Drosophila melanogaster: one gene and its partners. The gene in region 1 interacts genetically with each later gene. Each region holds a gene or a part of one and is shown on either strand. Other genes may lie near its edges.

The links.
Region 2: of ru (region 1) and caz, changing one suppresses a phenotype caused by changing the other (phenotypic suppression), as found in Drosophila melanogaster (one study listed by BioGRID).
Region 3: of ru (region 1) and net, changing one enhances a phenotype caused by changing the other (phenotypic enhancement), as found in Drosophila melanogaster (one study listed by BioGRID).

The regions. Positions count from the first base shown.
Region 1 is NT_037436.4:1,367,373-1,376,752, reverse strand, and holds the start of ru (roughoid), read right to left. Parts: upstream 6,126-9,380; 5' UTR 5,873-6,125; intron 1-5,872.
Region 2 is NC_004354.4:16,285,525-16,297,180, reverse strand, and holds caz (cabeza), read right to left. Parts: upstream 8,372-11,656; 5' UTR 8,231-8,371; coding exon 8,224-8,230; intron 8,155-8,223; coding exon 8,023-8,154; intron 7,956-8,022; coding exon 7,859-7,955; intron 6,125-7,858; coding exon 6,090-6,124; intron 5,241-6,089; coding exon 5,071-5,240; intron 4,987-5,070; coding exon 4,538-4,986; intron 4,296-4,537; coding exon 3,986-4,295; 3' UTR 3,661-3,985; downstream 1-3,660. Other genes in the region: CG3632 (uncharacterized protein), read right to left, coding at 391-405; ERp44 (endoplasmic reticulum protein 44), read left to right, coding at 815-871, 1,050-1,134, 1,867-1,958, 2,063-2,456, 2,527-2,793, 2,868-3,066, 3,141-3,285; UQCR-14 (Ubiquinol-cytochrome c reductase 14 kDa subunit), read right to left, coding at 10,258-10,505, 10,569-10,616, 10,732-10,771; CG32576 (uncharacterized protein), read left to right, coding at 8,774-8,798, 8,865-8,956, 9,045-9,223, 9,942-10,023, 11,047-11,091. UniProt on the Drosophila melanogaster protein: May participate in a function common to the expression of most genes transcribed by RNA polymerase II.
Region 3 is NT_033779.5:79,629-91,486, forward strand, and holds net (net), read right to left. Parts: upstream 7,760-11,858; 5' UTR 7,465-7,759; coding exon 7,392-7,464; intron 4,650-7,391; coding exon 3,640-4,649; 3' UTR 2,793-3,639; downstream 1-2,792.

The DNA of each region.
Region 1 (9,380 bases):
AAGACGGAGACGAGCTGACCTGCCAACTGGCGTTCATAACCACATTAGCACCGCTGGCGCTGCCCTCGACCCGTCGATGACCCACCTGCCGCCACGCCCCTCGCTCTCCGCCCCTTTGGGTAGATATATGTACATATATATATCGCCGATCTACATTCGCTTCCTCAACGTTCACCAACATTGTTGCCGCAGTCGGTGGGCCCGTTCCGCCCCCTTTGCCGCCTCTTCTTCTGTGGACAAAAGCGCGGCGCCTACCTTTACCGCTCCCTCTCTGCCCCCTGCTCATCTGCCCCTTCCCCTTTTGCTCCCCTTTTCTTGGCGTGGTAATTATTCGCGCTCAGGTGAGTACGCGAGTCTGCAAAGCGTAACTTGTAGCTTGTAGATACATTCACGTATCTCTTCGCACGCATCTACATATGGAAAACTGTGGGCATGGGCCGAGGTTGGAAACTGTGAAATGCGCTAGAGATGGGCAATTGCACAAGCATTCCAACTTGAGAAACTCAACTTTAAGTAAACGGTGCACCGAACAGTACTAACAAAGTATCAATCTAATATTCTATGAAATATTTCTATACTTTGCTGAATAATGCTTGGCATTTCCTGTTGATATAAACTTGAAAAACTTATCTAAGCTCGTGAGTCACGCGACCATCGCTGCGGTAGATGGACAAAAGTTAATCACCGTTGCCGTTTAGCTCAGTGAGCTTGTTGTTGGGGATCTCGTCTGGGAGCTGGAGCCACATATGCTATATGGTGTAGCTGTTGGCTCGCATAGTTTACATTTTATAAGTTAATTGAGTTAACTGTGCAACGCTCTCACTTTGTGGTCATTTGCAGATGCAGATTGGTCGGGTATCCGCCAGATATACGCTACGATTGCATCTATCTATCTATATAGCTATCTATCTATCGGATGCAGCGCTGATCATCGGGAGCAACTATCATCTATGGGTGGTCAGTCCACAGGCCCTTGGCGAGAACCGTTTTAATTATAAATACTTTCTCGCCTTTTTGTCGGCGTTTGTAAATCTGCATAATTCGTGTTGTGGTTGCAGCCATTAAAATTAAATAAAACCCGAAGGAAAAAAAATGCAAAACAAGCGGCGACCAACAATTTCTGCTGTTTAATTGCCAGAATATTTGATTTCACATACATATATAAGCGTTTTCTATGTTTTTTTTCTTATTGTGCTATTTGTCGGGCATTTTTGTGTTTTTCTCGATTTTGGTTTTTCAGCTTTGGTGATTTTATTTTCCTTTTTTTTTTCACATTGCGTCAATGCAAAATAATAACCCAAATAGCTGTGATAACTCTTTGTAAACGATTTGCATTCGGTTTGTCCGTGATTTTTGCTTAATTCTATCATAAATACTACATGACAACGGTGCGATGCATTGGATCAAATGGTTTCGGCTGAAACATACTCTATTTAACAAAAAAAAATATTGATAAAGAATATAATCGAAAAATCAAACATCGGTGTGATTTTTTAGCTACGTATATTTAGTGCGCTTCCTTTGAAACTAAATTGAAATTGAAATATGTCGCAAAGTTTCAATTAGCTGAGATCTGATTAATTACATTGCTAAACACAATCTTCCGCTTTTAAATATTTATCACATGAGAGTCACACTTTTTGCAAGTGCAAATCGCGTATACAAATTGTGTCAATGGCTCGGCTTTGATAGTTGTCGACCAACTTCAATTGCTGACGTCAAAGACTTTGGCCCACGTTTCGTGTGAAACTCGTTTGGGACACCTCACCCCTTCCCTCTATGGGCCACCAATCGATGGGGACTTCAGGTGTTCGCATTGCGTGGGCCTGACTCACTCAACAGAACCCCTCACCTCAACGCAATTCGAATTGGTTTGGGTTCCGTTCTCTAGAGAATGTGACCCTGGCTGGGTTCCGTTTCACTTTTCGCCAGATTTTGTAAATTTTCAATCTCTTTTATTTGGCTGCTCTTATTAAAAGCATTTGTTGAGACCGCTTAGTGTCGATTCACACGTCAGATGCATGCCTACAGTGCTCACTCGCTAAGTGGGATCACTATTATACATACACCTGTGCTATCGATTGTTACAAATGAATAGTGTGTAATTTAGAGTTCATATACTTTATATACTGAATAATCTGAATTTTTGTTTGATTAATTTGTATTTATAATAATTTGTAGCACTGTATGTGTATTTGTATCTGTATCTATGGGATGCATTCTTAGCATGTTTGTTTGTGGTTTGCACTGCAGTTTTCGCAATCGTTTGCCTTTGTTTTTGTTTATCGCCAATCCGCGAATCTTTGCTGTCTTATCTTCTTCGGTTGCTCTTCTTTCGTTGTTTTTTTCAGCTCTCTCTTTCTTTTGTTTCATTTTCACCTCTTTCGAAGCACATTGATGAATGAAAAGCGTTGGTGAGAGTGGTGGTGAAGACAGGTGAAAGGGGGGAAAAACGCAAATCGCCGATAAGCGATGAGTATGCGGAGTTCCCTTGGTGGCTGCACTTTTTAGCTTGTGATTCATATTCCGCTGTTGCAATTGCATTTGTATTTGCACATTGCGCTGGTTAGGCACTTTTCCGGCCGAAATACCACCCTCCCCCCACCACCCTTCACAGATACGTCCCTGTTCTTCCAACTCCAAGAAGAACCCCCCTTCTGAGTTTGGTGTGAAATATTTACGTGTAGACAACATTCCACTAACTGCAGTTGCAATGGCAACTAAAGTTCCCGTCCGGGCGAAGCAAACACCGTTTTCCACTTCTCCTTGGCATTTTTACCCACATTTATTTTCGGTGCATTTCCGCCTGCCATTTGCCAGGTTGCCTTATCCTACCTGAGTTTAAAAATATAAAAATAAATCTGAGGGAAAATGGTTGGCACTGCAAGTGAAGTACCCTGGAATTGATACTGCAAGCAATATATGTACTAAGATATGAATAACAACATCTAGTCGCAGTATAAACAAACCAAATATCATTTTAATGACCAAAAGTTTGAGTTTTCCCATTGAATAATTACGTAGCTTCACTTGCACCATTTTCCGAGCAATCCGACTGGTCAAGTTTGTGTAGAAACCCACACCAGATGCATGTGAATCCCAATAGACTTTTGCACCCTTGGCTGCTCCATCGAGGGTATTTGGTAAAAGGAGTTCCTGCGCTATTCATCTGCGCCTTAGTTCGAGCATAAACATTTCCTAAACTTTTATCTAATTCAGCAAACTGCAGCAACAACGTCAGCAGCTTCATCCATTTTGCAAGATTCCCAAGACATTTCCACATTTTCCGACTCATTGTTCTTGTTGTTATAGTTATTGTGTGCTCCATCTTTGGACTTTTGTTTTTCTTTATTTATTGTTTTTTTTTTGTGTGTGGATCTCTTTTTTCGCATTTTTAGCGTGTTTCAAGTTGTTAGGCATTCAACTTTTCACATCGCTGCTCTGCTTATTTTTTGTTTTTCCGCCGCGAAGGTTTTTCCTTCAGCCGACTGTGTGTTGTTTTTTCGGACTTTTCGTTTCGCGTCGGTTTTGTGCAACACACACACACACACACGCCACTCGAGTTCTTTGTTTGTGTCGCTTTGAGACTTTGGGGCGCCTCAGCGTGGCGGGGGCGTGGCTGGTCGGTGGGCAGTGGGGGCTGGCGGGGGTGCAACTTCGAATGGTTGCATAATCCGGCAATTTCTTACGGAATTTATTCAATTTCTGAAGCACTAACTAGCAGCATATATACTTGTTATTTGAAAGTTAAATTGATTAGCTTAAAAGTTGAAAATATTTGTTAACATTTTTGGTTCAGAAAAGCCTAGTTGCACAACAATTTTTTACACACTATTTCGCTTCTGCACTGATTTATGAGCTCTATTTTGTATGCGTTTGTGCGAGTGAGTATCTCAAAGATACCATCAATGTATCTGTATCTGTATCTGGAGTGTGTGCGTGTGCACCTTGGCCGACAAGACAAACTACAAAACTGCTTGAGCCATTGTCTTGCAACAGCTCAACTTGAAATGTCTGCCTAGATTAATGCGAATGCGAGAGGGTCTGACACTAATGAAGGTCAAAGGTGATCCAAAAGGGAAGAGCGGTGAAGGGGTGAAGGGGTGAAGGGGTGGTGCGGAGGTGGAGACAGCTTAAGAATGATTAAACACTATAAACTGTTGACTTCTGCGCTGGAAAATGGGGGAGAACGACACAAATCAGTTGCTGAATTTAATAGCAGTCAGAAGTTTTGGCCAAATTTAGTTCAGCAAACGGAAGCAAATGGTAATTAAAGTCTTACAACTTGGATAGTAATTTTAATTCACAGCTTTCCTTTGATACAAATATGACTTGGGAAACTTTTTTTTACCATATATCTTTAAAACTTTTTCACTTCTGCACACGTTAGTAAAAGAAAAGTGGCCCGAAAATGGGTAAACAAAACTAAGCCACCCTGAAATCAGGTCTTTGGGTCTTTTTTCGACTTTTTTTCATTTTTTTTTTTTGTTTGTTTCGCTATATTGTTTTTATTTTCGGCGTTGCCTCTCTCACTCTGACGCGTATAAAAGCAAACTTGACACATTTAAAAACTATATATTTACAAACAAAAAACGAACAAGAGACACGAAAAATTAAAATGCATTGCGTATGATTTTTTCAAGAATAGCCAACGCATTAATTTTTTCGTATTTTCATGCACTCGACAAAAACTTCACCAGTGACAAAAGCCCAAGGCAGCCCCAACTCCCCTGTCATTTTGTCCATGATTTGTGCATCTGAAACGGATCTTGGTTTTGATTTCCATTTCGATTTCGAGACTTTGGCACTTTTATGTTTAGCAAAAGTTTCACGAGAATAGAAAAATTTCGGAAAGTGAATAAAATTCGCATCGTTGCGATTGAATGAAATACTTTTCGAGGCTGCGTAAATAAATCAAAGTGTAAACAAAAGTGAGCCAAATGTGGCGTCTTCTCGCCCTGGAGACACACGAACTTGGTGGGTTTGGTGGCAAGATGGATGGCCAAACTGGGAGCTCCGAGGACCGCCCACACGCACAGACAGACCCTCTCCATCGATCGTTGGCCACTCCTGCCTACACGCACATGGGTTTCCATTCGAAAAGAGACAATGGAAATCGAATAGCCAACCAACCAGTAGCTAGCTGGCCAAGAAGTTCTGGCCAGAAGTTGGCCAGAAGTAGCACTTGTCCGAGATCCCACAAAAGATATCGAAAATGGAGCAGGGCAGCCCACACATACATATATATATAAAAACCGGGTGACCCGGGGGAGATTTCAACGGAAAGTGCTTGCCATTTGCTGACAGCTCGGGCGCAAACGGTTTTTAGTTAAATCCGCGCTCCACGTTGCGTATACGCAATGTGCGACTGGTGGCTGGCTGGGTGGGTGGGAGTGGTTGGTAGCATTGCAGTTGGCCCGTTGCAAACGGCAGCAAATACGGATGCCGAACGACAAGCACAGATGTTTTTACAACCCAAAAGATACAAAGCAGACAGAGATACTGATGCTGAAGCTGCTGCCGCACTGACAGATGCAGATTTACATGCACTGAAAACAAAAACTGCGATGGCTAACTAATAAGATTGGTTTCTGTTATAAATAGAGGATGGATATTAACGGCAGTAAAAGAGAATATTATATATTCAGTGCGATAATTTTTCGCACCATGAAGTACACCTTTATTTTTTGCAGTGCTCGCTCTAGTCAAATACGTTCAGCTCAGCATGGTTGAGTTTGGAGCTGAGTTTTGCCAAGTTTTAAGCCGATGGATTTATTTTTTTGGGGGGTTTTGCCGGGATCTCCGTGGGTGAGATATGGAATAGATGGGGGATTGAGAGTGGGAATCCTAGGCGGGGGGTGTTATGACTTACCGAGGGGGGTGATGAAATGGTTGACTCTTGTGCAGGCCATCCGGGGGGGGCAGGATTATGTGAACTGGTTGCAGCTTCTATTTTTTATTTCTTTCGAGGATGAGCGACAAGTTACTGCGGCAGTCGATCCGAGCAGTAAATGCTACGAACGGTACGAATGTTCGGTGCTTTTCCACTAAGTTTTTCCTCGGTGGTTTTTCTCTACTTTTCCAGTGAACCGTTAGTTGCGCGTGCTGCCGCCGGTTGCCGTTACAAAGTACCGTTCACAACTGAGCTCGTTTTTTATGCGGCCCGATACTTTTATAGATTCGCAAAGTGCCGGCCTGGCCAAAAACCGAAAGGGGTAGAGCCTCCTTACCGGAGGGTTTACATGTGCACAGTCCGCTGTGTTAGTTGTGCGTGTGTTTGTGTGTGTGTGCTTTTTTTCCATTTTGCACCCCTTTCGAAAAGCCGGCTCTTGCTGGCCAAGGTAAGAAACCCCCCCCCCCCCCTGCAAACCGCCTCCCCCTTTTAAGCCACCCTTTTGAACAATAAAGCCAGGTGCAGCAAACATGTTCGAGGTTCGAACGCGTTGCCAAGTTTTCCTTTGTCGTGGCTTTTTGCTTTTTTTGGCCACCATCCGGTGAACGGTACACGCAAAGGAGTCACGTGAGGAAGTGAGATGGGGCGAACGAGTGAAAGGGAGAGGGATAGCCAGGAGCCAGCTGGCTTTTACCGGCAGCTGCAGGTGCGACAGAGAAAGTGGAGAGACGGAGAGCGAGAGGGAGACAGTTGCAGATGCAGCCGCCGACGGATAATTAACAAGTCACTTATTAAGTTAGCATCTTTGTCCCCTTAATCCATTTGTGAAACAGTGTTTTCCCTTTTTGGCTAATTAACTCAATTATTGCATTACCAAATGTGAAACAATTGGGGGAAACAAAAAAAGCGAGGCTTATGCCTCAAATTATATCTGGCCAATGTTTTTTCGTTTGCAAACTGATCTTGGTACTGTAAAAAAGTAAAAGTTTATGTATAATTAGATAGATTTGATAAAAAAAACACCCAACGTTGATTTCTTGCCCCTGATAAATAAATCAAAGCACTTCGGTCGCAGCTGCTGTTTTCGCCTTGTTTATTGGGTGTCAATAGGTGCATCCATCAGATACAAGACACGAGATACAAGATACAAGACACGAGATACGAGCTACCACCAGCCACGAGATACTTATTTATGTGGGCTATCTCTGGCATCTCTTGGGACCAGTCATCTCTTTTGTATCTGAACTTGTTAACATATCGAGTATAATTTTGATGTGTTGTGGCCTCCTTCCATTTCCCAGCTCAAATAGCAAATAGCAAACAGCAAACATCGAAAGGGCCCAGATACACTTAACAATTGCAGAAACATCTTCATCAAATGGGCCTCATTCTGCTGCCGCTGACAGCTGATGAGGGCGCTGCCCGACCCTTTGTACCGCCCTAGCCCCCTCTCACTCCCACACAGCAGCTATCTCGCTCGCTCGCCCTGCGAATACCACCTCGAATCGCGCAGATTGGATTTGAATTGACTTCAAGATGAATAAGGTGGCAGTTGAATAGGGTCTATGGACCCCCTTTTTTTATGAAATTAAGGGTGCCAAGAGGATAACTGTTAATATAATATAGGGGTGCTGTTTGCAATTTGAATTAAATGCAAGCTAGTTACTATAAAATAACTAAAACTAAGATTAAAGTTTCTTCCACATTACTAGATAGTTAATATGAAGAAGGTAGCTCGATAATAAATTAAAAAGGCACCAAATGCTTTGGTTTAAAAGTTAGCACTAAATACTAGCAACGACTAAAAAGCTTATAATTAATATCTTGTGCCGCAAATGTTTTTCCAGCGCGACCAAAGAAAACACTTTCAATTCAATTCCATTACGCGCAGTCGTAAAATAGAAAACACAGGATAAACATTTGCCCATAAAAATTGCATGGGCTAAAAAGACAATTTTTTAAGCTGTCATTTTTTTCGTGTTTTGTATATTTTTTTCCTCGCTCATTTTCACTCTTGCCCATTTATTTTTTTATATTTTCTTCAACGTGTTTAATTGCACAAAAAAAAATGAAGAAAATGAAACGAAAACAAAGAAAAAATCATAAAAGCCAAAAATAATACACACAAAAAACAAGGTGAAAATATTGCGCAAAGCAAAAATAAAAAATCACAAAAATAACAAAAGAGGCTACAACAAAAATCAAACAAATTCAAACAGCCAGCGAAAAGCAAAGGCAAAAAGCGATTTATGCAAAACACAGATAAGCCGAAAAGTACAGGAAAAAAAAACAAAGACGATTAGGCGATTTAACGCACGCAAAATAAAATCCAATAAAATGTGATTACGGTTGGGTGGAGGGATGGAGGGGGAGCGAAAGGGACGGGGCGAATCGAACAGATGTTCGAACAACAAAAACATCAAAAATAACAGTGACATGCAGTGACGTAGGCGATGAAATTTCGGGGGTTTTGGGGCAAAAGCAAACACCTGAAATCATTGAAATGGAGGGGGGTTGAAGAGGGGAATACTTAATTTATTAAAAATATGCCTAATGTGTTTAAAGGATATTGATTGCAACCCCCCTCAAAATATCCTGCGAATGCCACTGTCGCTTCGCCTTCAACTTCTTCTCGTGCGCGTTGTTGTTTATTTTGTTTGCTGCTCGTGCCAAGGAAAGAGATGGCTAGCTGCCAAGATATCCTTTGACAGGAAGAGAGCGAGGAAATCAAGGATTTCGGCCAACTAGTTTTTCGGCCTCACCTGCCTCTGCCACATGCCGCTGCTCAAATTTCGTCTTTTTTTTCGCACTGCCTCCGCTTCTTTTAACATAAAATAATTATTATGACATGCACCGTCCCTCCGAACCCCCTAACTCCCTTTACCCAGCGTCTGCTTCCGTTGCAGACGGCTGAAAAGAGAGGGCAGGTGGCGGAGCGACAGGGAGGGCGATATAGGCATTAAAAACTGCAGAAAAAAAAGAACGAGAATCGAAGTACAGTAGCATAGATACTATTTAGATTCAGTATCTTAAACTAAGCAATTGTTTTTGATAATCGTCATCAGCGAAACGAAAATAGCATTCAACCACTTCCTATAAATACCATGATCAATATTTATATAAATAAACTCAAACAAAAGGCACCAAGTATATGAAAAACTTTCAGTAGATGATACCAAAAAGTGTTCTATATATTAATATCTTAAAAAATTCATATCACCAATGTATTTTAATGAGAAAGTGAGACAGACACAATGTGCACGAAGGAGACAGAGGACACAATCTGCTGCAGCTGCGAATATGACGAGTGGCATTGTAAAACAACTCTAGACTCTAGTGGCATCCCCTTCCCCCCAAAAACCCCTTTTTTAAAACACACTCTGCGCATACAAATTCGAAAGTGTGAAGAAGGAGAAGGGGGGGGGGGGAATGGACTGGGGCAAACGGAAAACGGAAAGTAGCCGGCGGTAATTTTATTGAGAAATCC
Region 2 (11,656 bases), on another chromosome or scaffold:
ATTTGTGTGTCGCTGCATTACATACGCACGCACATATATACCAATAGACTAGATTATCACGATTTCATAGCCAATAGGCGAAAAATGGCCGATTATCGTACTCAACGTATTCTAATGGCCGTGTATGTTGTCATAAACAAAGTAATTAAACATTTACGCATGTGTATGTTTGCATAAACTCATATGTATATTTGTCTATGTAGGTATGTTTGTGTTTCGATATTTCGGGGAGCAACAATAACACATTACAATCGTACATATGTATGCACACACATTTGGTTTTTGGATTCCACAAACCGTTCGCTCAGCAGACTTTTCGGGGTATTTAGCTCAAAACGTATTGCCGAATTGAAAACGCGCTTGGCTTCTAGATTTTCTCGCTCTATTTACCACCATAAAATCCATAAGCGTCAGCTATTATAAACAAAGATTTGCAAATGTTGTTGCACATACATATGTATGCATATGTATTCATTTAGACACTTTTTGTTTCATTTCCATTGAAATTGCTATCGTTGTTTGCTGCTATCGCTGTTATCGCTGCTGTTAGCGATGGCCAAGTCATGTGACTAAGCTATCGTTACTCGATTGCCGATGAGATGTGCATTCGAGACTAACCAACACTGGCCAGCCGATAAAATCAACCAAAAATTTGTAAAACTTAATAATTGTGCGTACGTTTGCATTCCATTCCAGCTGATGTGTAACTGAAATCAGAAAAAAAGAGAACCGATCGCTTGGACTCTCCGCCGGTGCACGCAATTCTACGCCCACTCCTCGCCAGCCGCATTCGCCATTCGGAAGCCGAACAAGAATGTTTGGAGCCAGAATCGGAATCGGAAAGCTTGGGCCGTGTGTGGCCCTAGTTGCGGTGAGTCGACGTGTTCCGTTCTGTCTGGTCATGTTGCTGGTCACTGGAGTGGCTCACCCGCTCGATCAGCGGGCGGGGAAACAGTGGGGAGGGGCCGGCCAGACAGCCCCGGCTTTTTTTTGGCTCCCCCTAACCAAATAACTAACTAACCAGAACTGACATCCTATGGAATTTACAGATTCTACAGCTACTCCAGTACACACAGCCGGCCGATGCCGCCGGAGCCGTGCCCATGACCAGTGATAATATCGATATGACCCTAGGTGAGATATGCCCATACCATAACCATCACAGTCATCCCCATGCCATTCCCGCTGCCAGCGTGAGCGGGAATCAATTAGCCGACTTGTCCCATTGACGTGTCACTAAACAAAATCACTGGCTCGCTCAATTCGGCACTGCCAACGTGGTAAAATAAGTTTTATGCGCTTTCGTAAAGGACAAGGTGTGGAATTTGGATAAAACTTAATTAGGGCGGTTTATATTTCATGCTGCATCGGTCCGATAGTCCGCCAAAATGGGCACTAGCCATTGGTCGGCAGTTCTTTGCTCAGAATGTCCGAAGTTTGGTCTTTGCATGAATAGGTCCTTTTTATACGGTGTGTCCTGTACACAATCCTGCGGTAATACTATATTGTTTTTTTAAAGTTATTTTTTTTTATTATCCAAACGTTAACTTTTACAGTAAAGCCTGGCCTTAGGCTTGCACCCCTTAAATTTTAACTTTCGGAAGTTATGGAATAGTAGGATGCTAGAAATTTCTTGACTTTAATATGTATATTCAGCGACAAATTTAAATATATTCCATAAAAATACATATGCATTTAAATTATTAATACATAAACCCGTAATTCAATATTGATATAAATATATTACCAAATATATGTTTTTAAAAGTTATTATATTTAGTATCTGAACGGAGTTGTATTCTACGCATCAACAATTTTACACACAATTTGGTGCCTACATTAAAAACACGTTTTGTTTTCTTGCAGCGTCTAATGAATTGGTTTTCCTTAATTTTTATGCGGAGTGGTGTCGGTTTAGTAATATTTTAGCACCTATATTCGCGGAAGCTGCAGATAAGGTGAGTCAAATGGATCGCCAGTAAAAGCTTACAAACAATGCGATACATTCATATACATTTTATATCGAATAAATACGTGGCATTCAATCGAATTTCTCTTACAGATTAAAGAGGAGTTTCCAGAGGCTGGAAAAGTGGTGCTAGGCAAGGTCGATTGCGACAAGGAAACGGCCATCGCGTCCCGTTTCCACATAAACAAGTATCCAACATTGAAAATTGTACGCAATGGGCAGCTCAGCAAGCGCGAATACCGAGGACAGCGTTCAGCCGAAGCGTTCCTCGAGTTCGTCAAGAAGCAGCTGGAGGATCCCATTCAGGAGTTCAAATCCCTGAAGGATCTGGAGAACCTGGACTCGAAGAAGCGCCTCATTCTGGGCTACTTCGATCGTAGGGACCAGCCAGAGTACGACATATTCCGCAAGGTGGCGACAAATCTGAAGGAAGACTGCCAGTTCCACGTGGGCTTCGGAGATGCCGCCCAGGCCATGCATCCACCAGGTGAATTCTATCAAACGCACCAAGTCATGCCAAGCCAATACTGAATGTCAGCTTTTTTGGTCTATTACAGGTACACCTATCATAGTATTTAGACCTGATGTAGCTCTGTCTCATGAGAACGATGAGACCTACACTGGCAGCCTACAAAATTTCGATGAGCTCAAAATTTGGGTCCAAGAGAAGTGTGTACCCCTGGTGCGGGAAATAACATTTGAGAATGCAGAGGAACTTACGGAGGAGGGTCTGCCGTTCCTAATTCTCTTCCACCACCCAACCGATCATAATTCTATCAAGGATTACAAGTCGATCATTGAGCGTCAATTGCTGGATGAGAAACGTAAGATGAATCATCGTGTTGTTTACTTTGCATATAAGCATTTGGTTTGACATTGTATTTTCGAAATTTTGCAGAGAACGTCAACTTTTTGACCGCCGATGGCAAGCGATTCGCGCATCCTCTGCACCATCTGGGTAAATCCGAGGATGACTTGCCCTTGATTGCCATCGACTCGTTCAAGCACATGTATCTGTTCCCCCACTTCAGTGACATGTACTCGCCGGGTAAGCTGAAGCAGTTCCTTCAGGATCTCTACAGTGGCAAGCTGCACAGGTAATTGTTATACAGCCGCCTTTGCTAACACCATGGGGCTCAATTACTAAACGGTCTGCTGCTTTGCTTTCCAGGGAATTTCATTACGGGCCGGATCCCTCAAATGATATTGAACCTGACCCACACACTGGCAAGGGTACATCGCCACCAGAGTCCAAATTCAAGGAACTTGGCCCATCCAAGCATCGCTACACCCTGCTAGAAAAAGATGAACTGTAATATAATAATAATAATGTATATTGAAAATAAAAGAAAATAATACAAAAATGTAATAATGAGCAACCTTCTCTGAAAGCAGATCAGCAGGTGAGCGGTTATCCATGCAAATAGCGGGCGCAGCAGCCTCAATTCTCTTCAATGCAATTCTAAAAATAAAAAGTCTGGATTTAACCACCTTTGTTATTGCAAAAAGAAACAGTTGCTGAATTATCCACAAATTGCACGCGTCACTTTTCAAGTTTTCCTCGTTTTGTTGTTAAAAATTACGCTGGAGATTTCGGCGAGGCGAACTTATTGAATTCTTTGGAATCCCCTTCTTAGTCAGCTAAGCTGGAAATGAATGATGTCAACTTCCGAATTCAAAGCAGTGATTTTGATTTTCTCTATATATATATATATATACACATATATATGAGCTATATATGTATACATATATATATGTTTATTCGTATGTACCATGTTACAGTTACAGTTGTTAAATTAGATTACATAATTATATAATATAATTCAGTCAAAACGAGCGATAACCGTGTGTGTGTTGGGATAAAAATCGGTTCAAATGAAGTCGTGTGCTGGCAATTATCATTTAAAAGTTGCTCTGACTGTTAATTTTAAAAGTACATTTAAAAGCGTACTCTCGCTACAATTAATAAGTAAAAGTGAAAAAAATAGGTGCCGCGTTCGGCTGGCTACCATGCGCTTAATATGGTCTCGAGCGCATGCCTCCATCGTTTCTCATCGGTCCACCATCGCGGCGATTGCCGCCACCACCTCCACGGCCACCGCGTCCTCCGCCATTGTTGTCATTGAAGCGGGAGTAGCCACCACCACCGCCGCCGCCGCCTCCGCCTCCCTGCGAGTTGCCACCGCGATCTCTGTTGTGATATCCACCGCCGCCGGATCCACGATCATTTCCTCGGTCGTAGCCTCCTCCGCCACCACCGCCGCCGTAGCCGCCGCCTCCACCACCTCCGCTAGAGCCCTCGTCGTCGCCCTTGGGAGTCTTACATCTGCAAATGGACGTGATTATTATTATCGTAGCAAGCCAAAGATTGTAAAATTTGTAGTTCCCCAAAGATAAAGACTTATGGCAATTATGTGGCGTATCAGCAAAAATTGCTTGCTTTCAAACACTGATAAGTTTTTCGTCTACACTTTGGGTTCTCCACGATATTTACAAGCAAGTGTGGAGTTTTAGGAATTATGATGGAATGGAATGTTGAAAGCAATTATATCTCAACTCTCAACTCACCTATTGCATTCGTTGCGCCAGGCAAAGTTGGTGTTATTACAGCTGTTGCATTTCCAGTCACCATCACGGGGCTGCACGTTGCCACCGCCGCCGCCACCACCACCGCCTCCTCCGCGATCGTAGCGTCCGCCGCCACCGCCTCCTCCGCGATCGAAGCGACCTCCACCGCCGCCGCCACCTCCTCCGCCGCCACCACCACCGCGACGTCCGCCAAATCCTCCGCGACCACCACCACCGCCGCCGCCGCCTCCGCCCTTGTTCCAGTTGTTCTGGCGCTGGGCCAGCGACACCTTGATCGCATTGCCGTTGAAGTCGCGTCCATCGAACCATTCAATGGCGGATTGTGCAGCATTGGTGTCGTCGTAGGTGACAGTGGCCTCTCCCTTGGAGGCGCCGGTCTCCTTGTTCTTGTACAGCCAAATCTTGGGCTTCATTGTACGCTTGTCTTTCTGTTGTTAGATCAGTTGCAAAGGAATAGAAAGATACAAAGGTTAAAACGTAGCTACAGATACATAAAATACATTACTACTTGCCTTGATGATGCCAATTGCTCCAAAGTGTGTCTCAATGTCCTGCTCGGTGGTCGAGGGATCCATGCCGGAGACAAAGATGGTGTCCTCCTGGGTGATCATGTCGTTGCCACCGGACCCACCGCCGCCGCCTCCTCCACCACCACCGCCGCCGCCCGAGTATCCTCCGTGTCCTACAAAAGCGAATGGGAAATAAGGACGAGCTGGCACGGCAGGGTATAGCTTAGAATGCAACTGCTACTTTATTTAATTAATATTTGGTTTTTTCATTTTCTTTTTTTTGTTTTGTTTTTTTCTTAGAACTTCTCGCCTCACTGCAACCACCAAAAAATGCAACGAAGGTGAGGACCAAAGTAGACGGCTGTTCCGTGACATTTTAACCAGGACACTTAGATGTGAAACCAGAATTTTGAGGTGTATTTCAAAAAACCTTTAGTGGGTGGACGACCGTGGGAGAGACGACATGGGGACACTTTGAACGGGTTTCGGTCGGCTTTTGAGCTATCAAAGCCAGACTGACTGGTACACAAGAACACAAACAGGTGACCCCAAATTGCCAGGAGTTAGCCCGACCGACCAACCCTTGATTTGATTCGTGACAACGCTTTGACACATGTATACAACACTTTACAGAAATTAAATACTAAATACCCGTGGGCTGACCGAGTCGGTCGTTAACCATTATATATTGATCAAACAGAGATCAACGATTTGGAAAAGTACGCTAAATACACTTTATAGGTAACGATGCGTGGACTTTTCGACGAAATTTCAAATGGGCAAGGCCCCACAATGAAAAGAATGCCGCCAGGAAAGGAGGATGTTTGTTTAATATGCATATTCAATTATTTACTCTTTTGGTTTGGAATTAGACTCTGTTTTTATGTTCTAATCGGTTTGGGTTTTCTTTTTTGTGTTTAAAATTTTGTTGTTCTACTTCGATTTTAGATTCAAGTTCAATATGTAGAAAAATATTGGTATACATTACTCGATATGTTTGCAATTGTTTGCATTATTTTTACCTTTGTTGTAGCTGTCCTTGCTGGCGCCTCCATTTCTAAAAGAGGATATTGAATAACTTATTTAATGCTTTGATTTTGGTTTTAATGCAGTATGGTGAGGTATACGCCTAGGATCCCTTGTTAGAATACGTATTGCTTTGTTCGATCTTATGGCATCTAATACCATCTATAGAGCACCCGGCACAGTTCGGTCAGTGACGACGACGTTCAAACAGCGAATGTCCGTTTTGTTGCTTTCCATCACAAAATTAGAGCCAAGTGCGGCGGCAGTCACTGATCAAACTGCCAAGGAGGACAACGTACATACTGTTTGCCATACATACACCTAACTCTTATACACATAATCTTAACGTTTGCATTAGTCTACTATTGGAAAAGCATTTGTTTACCAAATTCACAGAAATGAGAGGGAAGGAAGGAGTTCGACCCAGTTAAATACACTTATGTATGTAGTAGGTATATCGCAGCAAAATACCATCGTTATTAAACACACAACACTACCTACATACCTACATTCTTGCTTAACTACTATAAAACAAGCTTAAATGATAAATAATTCAAAAGTTTAGTAGTTTAGTAGTTGTTAAAATCACAAACAAAAAAAATACCTTAAAAACGGTCAATGAGATTGAAACTATATAAAACAAATTGCTTAAAACTATCTTACATTTAGATTGTTAGAGGTAAGCTCTCTCTTAGGCGCAAAATCATTGCTTTCTTATGTGTATAAACATATGTAATAACCTTAATAGCTAATAATTAAAATTTGTTATTATTTTTGTATACGTAAATACCTTAAGATGATTAGAGTCTCAGAACCATACCAATTCCTCCGAACTGTGCATTAATAATATATCGAATTTTTTTATTGTTTATTGTTTTTGTCTCGAGCCACAATTTATTTAATTTTATGATTGCTGGTTGATATTTTTTATATTCTTTTTAGCTTTATATCTTCGATTACACTTGTGTCATGTTTGATCTGGTTTTCATAACCATCCTGTTGGGAACACACACATTTTTTGAATGTTCATTTTGGAACATGTTTATGCTAGCATTGTATCGTATTAAGGCAGGAATGGATGATATAGTGTATGGTTTAAAACGATAATAATAACATGTGCGCGATTCTCTATGCAATTATCACAAATTCATCATAGATTTCATTAGGCGACCATTATTATTCCGATTGCAACGACTGTGGTATTACTTATTATTACTTATTCAGTATAACCAGTATTATTTATGCATTGCAGATATTTGTTTCCCCAGGGCATCATCTGTTTTTTTTTTTACCATTATACTCATTTGACTCGTCAAAACCATTTTGAAATACCATTTTCTAATATTTTTACACAGATTTTCGATGAAAAAAAAACAAACGTACATGAAATACAGTCATGCGGATAAATAATAATTTGCCAAATTGGGAGATACGTTTTTTTTTGTTGTTATAATTTTATGTTTTCTGCGTTTTTAAGCAGTCGGAACAAGTCGTAGTTGCAGGAATAGCTTCAAGCAGTTTCACACTCTGATGCAGCACAGTGCATCTCTTGCATTTCAATAATATCTTTAAAATACGCTTCATGTTTCAAGGAGTGGCTCGGTGTCTTTTCTCATTGGTTTGGCTGGATTGATTTGTAAATATTTATATATGCGTACACTTCTCTTATAACACTTAAAAAACCTCCGTGAAAGACTACTACCCATGATCTAAATAGCCTCGCTGTAACTCAACAGCAGCGAAATACTAAAAGTGGATAACATACCCGTAGGAATTGCCTCCTCTGTCGTTCCATGATCCGCCGCCGCCGCCACCGTTGCCGCTGCCACCAGAACCACGATGACCGGAACCGGAATCATAACCTTAAAAACATAAGTTTGTGAGTATTGGTGTGTTGCTCGCAACACAAAGTTCGCATGCACGCCTTACCACCGCCTTGTTTGCCGTAGTTCGGAGGTGGCTCGTTGTAGTTACCCGTTTTATTTGGCATTTGCTGGTAATTTGGTGGGGGGACAGCGAAATTATTATATCCCTGTCCCGAACCACCACCATAACCGCCACCTAGAGTGCACATATTTCATCGTTTTCAATTCACGTTGCGACTTATGCGCGTGTTAAAATTATACTTACGTTCCATGTTTAATAAACGTTGCGTGAAGTCTTTTTTTAATCAATAGAATTGCAGGAGTTTCAATAACTCGCTGCGTACAAATTGCTCGAATTGAAGAAAGCGTCAGATCGTCACAAATTCTATTGTAAAATGGCGTGTGAAAATTAATTAGGGATGTGCGTCGAAGGGGGCTGGTATGTGTGGGTCTTGTAGCGCCTATCGAAATATCTATCTATATATCATTGAAATGTGTGGGAATGGAACACAAATATGCCGAATATTATATTTGTGGGAAAATACGTATTAAATGGTAAAAATAGTTTTATTTAATACATTTTATCATTTATTTGCATCCAAATGGACTGAATCCAAGAGGTTTTAAATAATTAATCGGCAGCTTGATCGCTTTACAACACTAAAGCGCTTGCATCCCTGCAAACATTGTTTACAGTCGTTAGCACGTAACTTTGAATGAAAGTCGAAATCAGCTGTTTGTGCTTTGAAATTGAATTGGTGTTTACGTGGATTTAATTTTTTCTGAAATCAAATTAAAGCAGAGCCAAATACAAAATGATTGAAATATCAGATTTGCAGAGTAAGTAGCCATTAATATGCGAAAGCCATCAGCGCAACTAAACCGCCTATTGAAATCTTCCCGCAGAAATTGGCATCGGCTTGGCTGGTTTTGGCATTTTCTTTTTGTTTCTCGGCATGCTGCTGCTGTTCGATAAAGGACTGCTCGCCATTGGCAATGTACGTTACCCACATGCACATGCACCATATGCCCCATATAGCACACCCTTCGAGCTCTATAATAATAGCAATCGCCTCTTTCCCGCAGATTCTATTCATATCGGGCCTGGCCTGCGTCATTGGCGTGGAGCGCACGATGCGCTTTTTCTTCCAACGGCACAAAGTCAAAGGCACAACGGCCTTCTTAGGGGGAATCGTCATCGTCCTGCTGGGATTCCCCATCTTCGGCATGATTATTGAATCCTATGGATTTTTCGCACTCTTCAGGTTCGTAGCACCCTGGCCAAGTCCCAGTCGGATTCGTTTAAGACCATTTGAGCGGGGCTAACCGGTTACGCACTCCACATGGTCTTTTCGCTTTCCCGCTCTTAATACACCATTCGCAAGTCAGGGCTTGGCAGTCAAAGTTGCTGTCAGATGACATCCTTTAGAAATATTTTATATTTTAATTGAAAGACTGCAAGTCATGTAGATGGGACAATTTGACGCTGTGGCATTAACAGCAAATACCAAGTATAATTCTTCAGATTCGCTTACAAAAAAAGCTCGATCAGATTTTATAGCATTTGATCAGAGCTAAAGAAAGCAAAAAGTATGTCCTTCATTATAACTATTCGCTGTTTCTGTCTGTTTTGTTCTGTTCTGTCCTTTTATACATTTTTTCCTATCTATACCTCTCTCCTTTTACCTTTTCAATTGCATGCTTCTTCATAAGTTACGACCAAAGGTGCAACTTAATAATTACCCTAATATATGTAGGTCTTTTTATTCATTAAAATATCTTTTAACGAACGTTAAAAGGTCTGCTTCATATATATCGGATTAATGAATGGAAATCTATTCAAAGTAGGGAAAATATTCAGTGAATATAAGAATTTAACTTAACTTCGAAACGTGCAAGATGGCAATACAAGTGGAAGTAACTTCTTTTAGTGATTTGTCGTTTACTTATTACTTATTAATGTCCTTCTCTTTATATTTTCAGCGGCTTCTTCCCCGTGGCCATTAATTTCCTAGGCCGAGTGCCTGTTTTAGGATCGCTGTTTAATTTACCATTTATACAAAAGGTAAGGTAGCATGGAGCCTCACAAAAAATAAAAAATATAACATAGCAAATAGCCCATACTCATGATCACTTAACGCGCTCATCTCGCCTTGACGCGAAAGCCCATTGAAATAAACTGAAGGGTCCACATTCCCAAACGACCACGCAGACTCGATTTCATAGCCAATTTTGGTATTTATCTAAGCTATGTATTTCAACATTTACAAGTCCAAAGTAGAGGGATTTAGTGGCGCGTTTAGTGGATCTTTTCCCAGTCCTCACGCTCCTCGCGCTCCTTCACGACCTCCTTGAGGTAGGGTTCCAGATACTTGACGTCCTCCTCGTACTTGGTCCACTGCTCCTTGGGCAGAATGGTCTTGGTCATGGACAGATGGAGGGCCCTCATGATGCGGTAGTTACGCTCATCGTACAGCTTCCTGGGCAATCGGCGCACGGCCTCCTTCACATCCTCGTTCTCATACAGACAATCATCGCGATGCAGACCTGCAAAAATCGATGGCATCAAGCTCAGCTGTTAGGAATCACTAGGTTATATAGTAGTCCTACCGTATTGGTTGAATCCGGAGAGATTGTAGGCCCATCTGCCCAGATTTGCTGTGGGGAAAAATTCGCATTACATATTTACGTAATCATAATATTCCGGCGTACTGCACTACGAAATTTGTTGCATGCAACGTGAGTCCGATTGTTGCCCGTTCGTATTACTTACAGAGAACTGCGGGTCCCTTTCTGGCAATATAGTTCGACATGGTTTACGTAAAATCAGAAGTCGGGAAAGAGATATTCCTCCAGCCTTTTTATTTTAGGTATGAGAACGTTGGAGATGGGTCTCTCGATAGCTATCGCACCCCGTTATCGATCAACGAGCACTACGGTTGCGTTTGTACAAATCGATTTCCGAAATGTAATACAGACACACTGCACCTATCGATATATCGCACTCAAGAAAATTCGTTATTCTTTAGTTTTAGAGCTATTAAATATATTATCTTTTAACATTTTACCCTTTTGTATTTGTATTTAGATTGTTCAAAAACTTGGTGGAGACGGCAACCGAACTACAGTATAATTACATCTCCAAAGTTGGTCATTTTGCAATAACTTTTTGTATAAAGTAAATAAAATCAATTCAAATTCTTGTAAACCCATTTAAGCCCATGTAAAAATCCGCCTTCATAAACAAAATACTTGTAGTTTATCAAACCGAATGATTGTGGCTTTCTCCTTTTGTAATTTGTTATGGGAAACACTCAAAAAAGGTTTTTAATTTGGGTTAAGTTATAATTTATGTTAACCAATAACCTCGATTAAATTAATTATAAAAATGATGCCTGAAGATATACAACTTTCACTTAACTTGCAACACGGGTATTGTATATTAAACAGCAAACAAAAAAGGCAAAAATGTTGGTAATTAGCGGAGTGCTTCGACAAGCGGAAATCCCTACTTCTCATTTAAATAATATTTCCCCAATTTTTTGCGATAAGCCCCCGCCAACGGTAAACCCTTCATTAAAATGATTGATAGCGTTTTTATTTTAAAGTACATACCTTCGCTTTATTATGACTACAAAATATCAATTTATACAAATTAAAGAACATATACAAATTCTTTATATATACAGTGCCCTCCC
Region 3 (11,858 bases), on another chromosome or scaffold:
AGGGTATTTTCTCAAAACGAGGTTAAACGGCTCGTTTCTCCTTTATATATTCGCTGGATATATACCGGCATGTTTAAATGTGTGCACCTCCAAGTAAGGGACCAGTGATCAGACTGGAGCACCGGCTCTCGAATTCCCAGAATATCGCCCGAGATCAATCTTACACTCGTTAGATTGCATATTTTCATATGGTAGTTGGACACATCGTTCTTTCGCATCCATTTTCGGTTTTGCTGTTGCGATGCCATACACTAGAAGCCGGCGGCGTCAACGTCTGCTTCTGCTACTTTCAGTTTCATAAAAGCAGTCAATAACGCCTTGAAGGGCAACCATTTAAGAGATTTGATTGTCTTCAGATAGTCAGCAACTATGATTGGTTTTAACATATATGTTATATATGTACACATATACATGTATGTATATAAGTTCTATAGTTAATAAATCTCGTACACATAAATTTAACATAAATGTCCTGCACCAAGTTGTGTCTATGTCGAAAAGCTCACAAAGATTCTTCTTTTAAGGTGATACATTTGCTAAGGGCCAGCCAGGCAAGTGCGAGTGGGATTCTGAGTTGGTCCAGCAGGGCATATTGCGTAGAAGTATGGACTTAATGGTGGCGCCATTTCATTGCGCATGTCCATGTCTTGGATTACTGGGATGGTATGGATTTGGCAATTGCAATGAAATGGAAATGGACACAGATGGTTTCAGTTGAAATATGTAAATGCGTAAATATGTTAGCGGGGGATGAGTCATTTGACGTGTTAACCGGCCTTAAAAGTGATATAAAATAAAAAAGGAAATACATAATGTTGTAATCCGTTTTCAATATTGCATCAGTTGTTTACGCAGCCATGATTAACTTAATAATTAAAGAAAGTTTAATAAGCTATTTACTTCGTTCTTGAGAATTTAGGTTCGTTCAGACTGAATGTGTGCATATGAGTCAAATTGAAAGATTTCTTTTTTATAATATTTTACGCGGCAATCGCTAGACAACCATTTGGCACGCAATAAAGACAGTCTGTCCCATTCGTCGCCTAATAGCTTTCTTTCCTTTTCCTTCACTTTAGCTAGGTCAGCTATTGGACTGTCACGAGCCCACCAGTCGTCTGGTTTTATTTTGAAATTGTCAATTGCGCCTTGCAATCTAGGCGCCAACTAATGGTGTGCTTGTAGGCCTTGACGTACACATACACAAGCTCCTAACAAGTTTTTTTCCACCTTACCTCCTTGTATAGCGAAAAGTGTTCTGCTCTTCTATCCCTACACCCAGCTACATAAAAATATCTATTGCTGTGTCTCAACCCAATGATTTCATATTCTGTGGATGCACAACTATTGTAAAAAGCGCAGTATCAAGTATATTGCAAAATGTGTTACCAAAGGGCTAAGGAACAACTTTAAAATTGCTTTGCTGGAGAAAATCCTAAAACGGAGATATTTAGCATCTATTTTTAGCCCTCGTCTATAACGAGTTGAACATTTTTGGTTAATTATCAATGTAGTCCAAGCAGCATTGATCGTGCTAATTTGTACGCATATTAAATGAGAAGATCACGCTAGCTAGCTCAGCATGTGATGCCAAGACAGTACTTAGTTTATTGGCTCACCCTCGCACCAACACCTTGTGAGGCACACGCGCAACTGGCAACTGCCCCGAAATAGACGTTGCCACACCTGTGACAGGTGCGACAATATTTGTCGTCTGCTATAACTTAAAGCTGCAACTACAATTGTTTGTGGTATTTTTAGACGACTTTAAAGTCAATATTTGCGCAACAATTTTTCAGTTTGCTTCGACTTAAATAACATCTCGTCACGACATGTGATGCACCGGTTTACTATAGTTTATATTTTTTAACTTATTTACACAAATGCTAATTTGTAACATTGCTACTAGAAGTCATTTTTATATGAGCAGATGTTCATTTTTTTAAATATTATTGGGATACCAGGAGAATGAAAATTTTAAAACACAGCATGTGGCTGGGATTGTCTTTAAATTCGATGTTAAAGCAAGAAAAATTAATATTAATTTGTACAGGGCCTTCGCACATTTCCCCAAATTCATTGAAAAATCCAGCATTTTACGGAGTAACGTTGTTGTTTTTTTCTTAACAAATTACGGATACCATAGGCCTAGCAATCTCTATTTTGTGTGTGCAATTAATGGGAAAATTTTCTTAAATTTGTTTTATTAATATTTTATTAGGAAAGTGGAGGTACTTTAATATAGATGTGTAAGTTGCAGGTCTAGTTCCCACCTGCTCTTTGTTGAATAACGCCAATGCTCAAGTCATTATATATGTACTGATCGGAAATTGCTGTTTTTAACCTGTTTTCTATAGGATTCTTAGCTGATGTAATTTGTTCTGGATATTGCACTGGGTCAACTAGATGCAGTTACTTTGTTAATAATATGCATAGTTAATAGTGTTGAGTTCTTTCAGAGTACGTCATGAGTTCTAATGCACTGTCAACTTACTGTGATATTGGTAAACTTTGTGCCTGCTAGATAAGCTGACAAATATATTTCCGAACCTGATAAGGGGACTAAGTTTTGCCAAAACTCGTTACGATAACGTGGATGCGTTCAGGTGTACTTAAATCGATAGCGTGCCGTTCTTTGCGCACCTGTTGAGTTTTTAATATCACGAAATAGCTTGTTGCAAACGATAAGATTGTTTAACGTACAGACATAAAATAACCCTTAAAGCCGTCATTTCTATATGGTTTCCTTTAGTGCGCTTGCACCCAGATGACTAATATTTTAACCGCGACCACCTGAAATCCCAACTCTATATAAAAATACATTCTCTTTATAGTAAGTTTTGTGTATTTCCTGATTCTATGGCACGTACACTTATGAATGTATACATGGGTACAAATATATCAATGTATACAAAACAATGAGATTACAATTGAAGAGGAAACGTCTACAGTTACTTACATAAACTGAAATTTGTTAAATTCTTTATTTAATTTCGTAACTACGGATTTTTAATTACTACTGATTATCTCTGTTGTATGCAATTCGTAAAAGAAGAATTGATCTTATTATAGAGGTACATGTAAAAAAATATACATTTTCATATTCAGTCCTAAGGTAACTAAAGTTGATGGTGAAATTACAACATTTTGGCAAAGCTTCTTTTAAAAACTTGTAAATTGATATAAAAATCCTGTTTGAAACAAGAAACTGAAACTTTTTTAGGTAAATATATAGTTTACATTATTGTCATTTACATAGGTTTTAAGGATGCCGATTATTGTCTTTTTATACACTCGTACATAGATGGCGTTGACTTTTTGTACTGACTAAAATGTTTCTGTAGGTAGAGATTAAATTATGATCACATCGCTAGTATTTATTCATAACAATGTCAATATCAAATACAAATTGTATGCAGGCATACTTAAAAATTTTTTTTTTAAACTCATGAAGTCTGTATATCTAACAAAGCCTTGAAAACTTTTAAAGCTATTAGGCCACTTCTGGCAAAGAATCAAAGCATGTGGATAGGAATGCTGTATGCAGATTAATCTAAGCTTAAGCACAAATATTTAAAAAAATAGCAGAAATCAGTCGCATTTAAAGTCTAAAAAAGTAAGTTATCCACGAAACTGGACAGATTACTCGTCTTTCTTTCGTTTCACTTTTCCCTCCGTTTGGATGGTTGATGTTACAGCTTCTAAGCACGTGGCAATGGACGGTACGGATTGATCGGCGCTGTAATCCTCGCCAGCCATTCTACTTAAGGTTAGTATATAGGAACACGCTACCCGAAGAACGGAGAGTTTGGAAAGTTTTTGAGTGCTGGCATAGGCTGGAACAGCTTGGCGGAGCGTTTCGTAGGCGGCGGATATGGTGTGTACACGGGTCCGTTCACGTGCGTTCGCCTCAATGCGGCGCTCCCTAGTCATATTCTTGTAATTGCGTTGATGTTGATGAGGTCGCGAAATTGGTGCCAATCCCGTCTTGTTCAGATCCTCATCGCTAAGACTAGCTTCTAAAAAGGAAGATGACGTTGATTCTTTTTGCGTCCTTTCCTTCAACGTTTTTTTGGCGGATGGCTGTTTTCCAATTAGCAATGCGGAAAAGGCCTCTATTTTAGGCCCCGCTTGGTCGACACATTGCTTTTTGGTCGTTACTAATGCGAGTGGTTCCAGCTGTTCTGGGTGGGCAGCAAGCGATCTGTGAAGAGTCGTAACTCCCGGATGGCGAACATATATATGTGCCGGATTAGGCATTATTTCATGCTGCAGGCGCAACGTGGAAGGTATGCAACTGTTGGGCGGTGGAGAGTCTATGGCTGGTGGCGTTAGGACAACTGCCGAATCGGCGGAAGATGTGTATCGTATGCGTTTCTTTAGCGGACCAGTTGCATTCATACTCGCACTGGACGGAGGACCAGGCATGGATTTAGAGTTGGGAGTCGTCAAACCTACGACTTTGAAGGGTTCCGAACTCTTGCGTTTGTTGCGGACAAGGGCTATTGGCTTGGAGTCCGCCGAGTCTGTTCCTTTTGGTCTGATGTCGGGACTGCCACTGCGCGCGTGCTCGACGACCAAGTCGTCTCCGCCTTCGCTTTCCGAACTGGCGGAACAAAAACCCGCATCACGGTCGTTGGAATTGGGTGAATCTAAAAATACCAAAAAATTTAAGAGTTAGTTATCTTCTATCTGTGACGTATTACGCCGAACCGGTTACTAATGTTTGGCATTTCGTATTCGTAAATTTAAAAAAACCCCCGTTTTCGCGGAACAGGCCAGCAAGCCGAATAGGGCTGCGACTGCCTTTGTGTGACACCCCTTCGACTTTTCAAAATTCAATAAATCCCAAATCTTTAGTTACTATTTTTTATTACCATCTGATCGAAACTAATTGGATGACGTAGTTTTGACGTATTTTCTTATCTATAATATGTTCTTCCACCCTATGAAATCTATTTAATACATTCAAATCGGAGGTTACATGAGAAGAAAGTCCATTATATAAAGTGAAATTATGCATTGATCACGAAAACAAAACAGGTTTCTTAATTTACCACTGACCTCCACAAGTATTGAAGTGCCGAAACGCAGCTTACTTGTTAAAAGTAATTTATTTCAAGTCTGGCGAATAAAGCCAGTTCAAGTTCAGCATGAAGCAGCCACTGCATCAGAAGCCAACAACCCGGTTAGCAATTTAAAAAAAAATCACAATGCATATAAACGAGCATACATACATGGATCGAATTTGTTTGCGATTTCAACTTTGGTTGTGCCAGCAAAGTATAAAGGTATAGAATCTGCTAGGATATTTATAAGTATTCCGGTATTTAAGCAAAAAAAAACTTTGTCTTCAACAGCTAATTTTTTTTGTAATCAATTATTGTGTTATCAGCCTATCCATTATATATATGTATATGTTTGTCAGCAATCATACATACAATAATTACTTGTTATTAATTTTAAATTAATTACTTAAGCTAAGTTGGCTAAGAATGAGTAAATTTATTCCCTGTTTGTTTGAACCGGTGCGGACACACATTTACGGAAGGTAAGCTTTTTGCATGTTTATTCAACTATTTATAAGCACAATATTCTGCTATCTTTTCTAATTTTAGGCAGATAAACAACGAAACGAAATTCAAAGCAACTGACTGACATTGCGGCCACGAAATCAGGCTGTACAAATAACATCAGTTTTATAGCCCTAACTCTATCCCATGTCTTGCGTGGTTTATATACCGCATTTTAATTTATATTTAGACAAATGTTTACTTTTAAGCCACCGTCCTCGCAGGCGTCGTCTAGTTTAAAACACCTGTGCCAAACGGAAACATTTTTAAAGCTTGCCAAGTTTTTAAAAAATAAATTTCTACCAATTTATATTTAAGTTGTCCGTATCAGACACTTAAAGTTACATCTAACGACCAAAGGGCAATACCTGCACATTTTATTTTATTTTTAGTATACACGGAAGAAGGTATTATTCTCGATTGTTTATATTAAGAATATTTTAAGATGTTTTTTGTACGCCCAAATTAGTTTATTTTTTATGGATCTGATCCGTCTTTAGGTGCCAAGTACAAAATAGCAAGTTTTGCTCAGAAATTGACAACGGTTTTCCCGTTATTGGCCTTTTTTTCTAAGAATGAATGCCCTCCTGCGAAAATCAGCTAAAACCTACTTAAAAACGGCAGACATTAACTGTCAGAGGCATAAGAAAATCCCATATTCACGCCAAAAGTCAACGAAAGGTTATCATCATAGGCGGCTTTTGGCTGGCGGTCGGTCCACTGGGAAGCGTTCCCTGTGTGGGAAGCCTCGTCTTATCATAACAAGTGCATATACTCATACGTACATAAATGTAAATATGTTATAGCGACTATATGAAATATATTGTAGTAAAATGACGCATCACTTTTATGAATGAATCGTAAGAACACATCCAGATCATGCAGTACTTTGACACACTTGGTAAGGACATTTTTACGTTGGTTATAAAACGAACCCAATATCATTCGGCTTTCCTGTTACTACATTGCGTTATGTAGTAAAATAATATAAGTGGAATTTTTATAAACTCATAGTGATCAATTTAAATTAAAGACACCTTATTCTATCCAAACCAATGGCCATCTAGACTAATCATTTCGAAACGTTGCTGATTAAGACTAGCATTTTAAATAAATGATCACAGAAACAAAAAATAAAATCGATTTTATGAAATGCTGACGTAAACAGTACCAACAATATGGAAGGAGTTAACGTCTGTCCTCGAACATTATAACAATCAGCAGGCGGTGGTGAAAAGGGACACACAATGCAGAGTCCAACTGTCGCTCCAGCTTCACAAACAGACAAATTGCCAATATGTCTGGCGACATCGTCGTCCCAAATTCGCCATTGCGGGCAAAGTGCTTGGCCGACATATGCAACACAAGACGAAAGTTGGAGTACGCTGGCGACACATAGTTGGCTTTATTTACGTATCTGTCTGCATCTTAATTGCCATCCTCACAAGTCTGCTGCTAATATGATTCTGCTGCAACGTGTTAGTTGGTGGGGCTTTCTGGGTGCACACGGCAGCACCCCCTATTAACAATGTTGGTCGTCAATTATCTTCAGTGTCTATTGCATAGCCTTGGGCCATAGCCTCCTTGCCTTAATGATTGTATTCGTTCTTTTTGGGTTTCGATTACAAAAATGAATATACAGCTATTTGACAAATTATTGTCGACAAATATTTTGCGGGAAATGATTATAATCATCCGACTGCAAGACATAAAAAACCTATGTATGTAGGTGTGTATATTTATGTAAGTATTTGCAGGTGCCGCACAATTCGCAGGCAACAGGTGCAGTGTCCTTTGCTCGTGCAAAAGGTAAATACCCACCTTTCATAATAATTGCTGATAATTCCGATGCGCTTAGTTGCATGTAAAGTTTTTCTGTGTTGGTATTCGCCATAGCCGCGAAGGACATTCAAGAACTTTAAAAGTAGCGCGTATCCGAAAACGGTATTTGAATAGTTTTGTGGGCTTATATTTTATTTATTCACAATTACGGGCTTTATGTTAACATAAACCTATTGAAATGTCACGTATTGTTTAAAGGCACTTTTTTAATTTGTGGTTTGGTTAAGCCGTATGTGAGCTTTGGCACTATCTTCAACTTATTAGAACTTTTTATTTTCACGATTTCTCGTAAAATCTTCTGACCGGAGCACGACTGTTCACAACGAAAGTATCTGACGGATTGAAAATATCTTGCGGATTGAAATGGCCTGCGCCAGGGACCGGCTGGCTTCATGCTAAAAGCAGCACGCGGTCGAACTGCGTTTGGTTATCAGTGTTGACCATTCAGTTTTTTTAGAGTCCGTTGTCCTAATGTGTGTATGGCTTGAAAAAAATTGCGCCCTTAGCCAGAAAATATATTTCTTCCATAAGTAAATTATATGCTTAATAAGAAATAAAGTATTTATCTTTACAAGAAATATATAAATACTTTAAAGCAAAATTTTGAACAGCTAAGTTTGCTAGGCCTCTGAACTTATTGGCACCAGAAATATTAGGCAGAAAGACCTGCCAGCACTGTGGTACGAACCGCTGGATCGGTTCGCTGTCGAACATGTTTGACTACCACATTATTAGTTTTATGAATGAAAATATTCGCTCGCTTGAGATTTGCGACTAGAAAAAATTTGTATTCAACTTATTGATTGCAAGTATTACTTTTCTGCGGCCTTACTTATGTTTCAATGACAAAATGTCTTTTGACTTTTTGTAAACTTATCGGGATGAATATACATTCAATATTTTGGACAGAAAAAGATCTTAAATGCCATTGAATTAGGTAAGATTAATTAATTTCGGCTGCTCTCCATTTTGCAAAGTTTGACTTATAAGGCTGTTAAAGCCTCTATCATAATCAGGACTTTATTAAAACAGTTTATTCTTCTTGCAACATTGCTGCTGGACACAACGCATATACCAGCGTCAATTTCATTTGTGCATACGTGATAAAATATGTATTAGTATGTATTTCATCTGCGGATGGCACTGGCGAAGAAAGTAAAAGCAACGGTCTTAATAATGTCAACATTTAATTTTAGTATTGCACAAGCTGTTCGATTTTTAGGCATAGAATGGTCAGTTTCTTAGATAGTTTACAAATATTTTATTTGATACGTATGTATTTTTTTAAACAGAACTCGTCATAATTTTGTAAGTTGGATTATCATGGCTTCTTTTATATTTATGTATGTATATATGTATATGCTTGTATTTGGAAATTTATTTAAGTCAGGATGAATACCTCCTTACGTTTTGGATAAAAAAAAGATCAGTTCTAGGAAAAAGTTTAAATTTGCTGATCATTCTTTCGAACGCCGCACAACAAAAAACTTGCCGCTGGAATGAATGCAAGAGCCAGTTCCCTAATATCATTAGGGTTCTTTTCGTCTTTTTGTCTGATATCCTTAGCAGATGTACACTGGGCACGAGTTTGAGTCTGTCGCGCGAAATGCTTTTTGAATGATGACTTTCGTTTTTTTAGAGACTTGTTCTGCTTTTAAAGTATGCGATTGGGCTGCGGCCTAACCTGTTTTCTTCGATTGGACAGACCCCAGACTTCACAATCTCCAGTGTAGCAACCTGAGCAGTCCTCCGCTACCGCCGTTTAGGTCGCGATCAAGCCTTTGTCAAGCTGGAAGTTCAAGGATAAGAATGCTGGACTTCCAAAAATGGTTCGTGTACGTGTCGGCGAAATTTGATCTGTTCCTTTAAAAGTAAACCATTTTTTCCGTACGCCCCAGCTAGAATTACTTCGGAATCATTTGCAAAGATTTTTTTTAAAATTAGGTAAAGTTGCGGTTACTGATTTGGCTTCTGTATGAGGACGGGCTCTAAGTACATGAAGTCAGTTTGGCTTCTACATATGTAGATATGTGCTTTTCACCAAAGATCAAGTCAGAAGAAGTATTTTGCGGACAACATGGTGTTGACGAACATGCACAAATCGAGTTACACTGATTTGGCTTCTGAAAAAGAACTTACCGAAATAAAAATAGCAATATATATTTAATTAAAATGGATATCGATTCGATACCTGAAAACACATATGCATTTGTACATGCGCACATACACATATAGGTATTTCTACCTGTCATTCTCGGCATGGAGCTACAAGAGCAGGATAATGGAACGTCTCAATCACTAATTGCTTTTAGTCTGCGTGGACTAATATCTGGTCCTTGCCAATAGTTTGAACAAACGCCTGGGATATTGGAAATTTCTTGAAAAACTAGCGAAGTCAGGTAGTGGTGACTTCTGAGAATATTCATGCTCAATGCCTACCTTCTGCGGAACATAATGTAATATTTGTTGCGTATTTCAGCTTTTGAGAAGCTCATCGAAATCAAATAACCTTTTATCTATTAGCCATTTAGCATAATTAGAAGGCTTTGTTACTCGATCAAAATCATTATCAAAAATTAGTTGAAAGTGATATCGTCTCAATTCAAATTCCTTTCATATAGTAAACATAACGTTGCCGTAATAAGCACATGTCCCTCCATGTGACGTCACGTTCCTTCTTGTTACGTTTAGTAGTGGAACCAACCGGCCTTGGCACGTGGTTATGGAAATTGCGTAACTCACTTCTACCGATACACTCGTTACTCAATGACCCAAGTTAGTGAGCTTAATAATAATTCAACAAGGAGAACGCTATAGCCGATTTCCTTCCCTCTATCAGATATCTCAGAAACTAAGATAGGGAAAGTGCGAGGGGCACATATGTATGTATATTTTTCTAAATGGTCGGGGTGCAATTTTTTGCAGTTGACGTGAACAGACAGAAGGACATGGCCGGAAGGACATGGTCTCAGATAGAGAATCGGATCAAATATCAATTAAATAATAGATCTAAAAATATTCTGAAAAGCGTTTGGTGAAAGGATTTCCAACAGTAGCCTACTTAAATAAAATAAAAACAAATATTTACGAAAATATGTTCAGATCCGAATTTGTAACACATGGAATTCTCTGCTTGCTGTAAGTGCCAGCACATGTGTTTTCTTTGAGAAGAGGCGTTTTTATTTTCTGGGCCTTTTGACCTTTGCCGGCGTCACCCAGTTTGCAGATTTTCATTGAATCGGCGCCGTCGGCGACTAATGGCACATATGCTGACCAGAAGGATAGGAAAAACAGACATCCTTAAATTCAAGATGTGTGAAACTTGCATACAGTGATGTGAATGGCGACAATATGTCTTTTAATTTGCGTGGGAATATGTTTAGAACATGTTTGTATGTGCAGATATCTGTCTTAAAGCAAGAGTATTGTAACTATGTCCAGTGCAATATAAAAAGCTCAGTTTTCGTAGATTACACCTTATTCTTTTAAAACGTGACAGCCGCAAGCGAAACTATACAGCAGCATCAATAACATGCGTGCCAGAAATCATACCCATGATATAAAATTAGACGCTAAGAAGTACGTTATTAATGTCAAAATCTAAAAAATCAGGACTGACTGCCAGACACAACTCAGACAAACCGGAGAATGCAGGACTTTGCACGCAAGAAAGAAGATAAAAGAAGAAGAATATTAATGAGTCCAGACATCTCCACCACAGCAATTCCCACGCTTCTTGAACGTAAAACACCCGCAAGCTCATCTGCAAAAATGTAAGCAAAAGCATTGACCGTATCTCTGCAATGATTGCCACCGTTTGCCTCAAGCCCCCAAAATCCGAATACTGTACAGGAGAATTCACACAGAGGCAATAAGGCAAGGCAGCATCACAAAATTGTTAATATGGACCTCGATACGGCAACAGCAGAAAATTGTTAATATGAAAGTCGAGATCGCTTTGAGCATAAGTTGCCAATGGGCAGCAGTCCCGAAACAAGGCAATGGAATGGGTTACTTAATAGAATGTCTTAGCATGTGGGTATGTCATGCACCTCAAAAGTGTCTATTTATATCCGCTTGTGCATGCGCTTTGAGTTTGTTAGCACCCTTACCACTCTTGAATTTGTCGTCTATATCGCTCATGCTGAGCTCCGCGTATATATTGAAGTATCGCGTTTTGACCGTGTTGAATACTTAAAACGAAATATGATGAGCTTAGCATATATGTATGATTGTAAGGCATTTGCTATTTTAACTTTTTTTAATATCGGCAACTCCAATGCACGTGCAAGGCAACATTTTGACATTTTACGGATTGGAGGTACCTGTCTTCGATTTTGCCCTTGCACGCACTAACTGTTGTTGCCCATTTGCAAGTGGGTATTGTTAAATATCCTTGTCATAAAACTGTTTTGTTCACTTGTCTTTTGTCATATAGAAAACTTC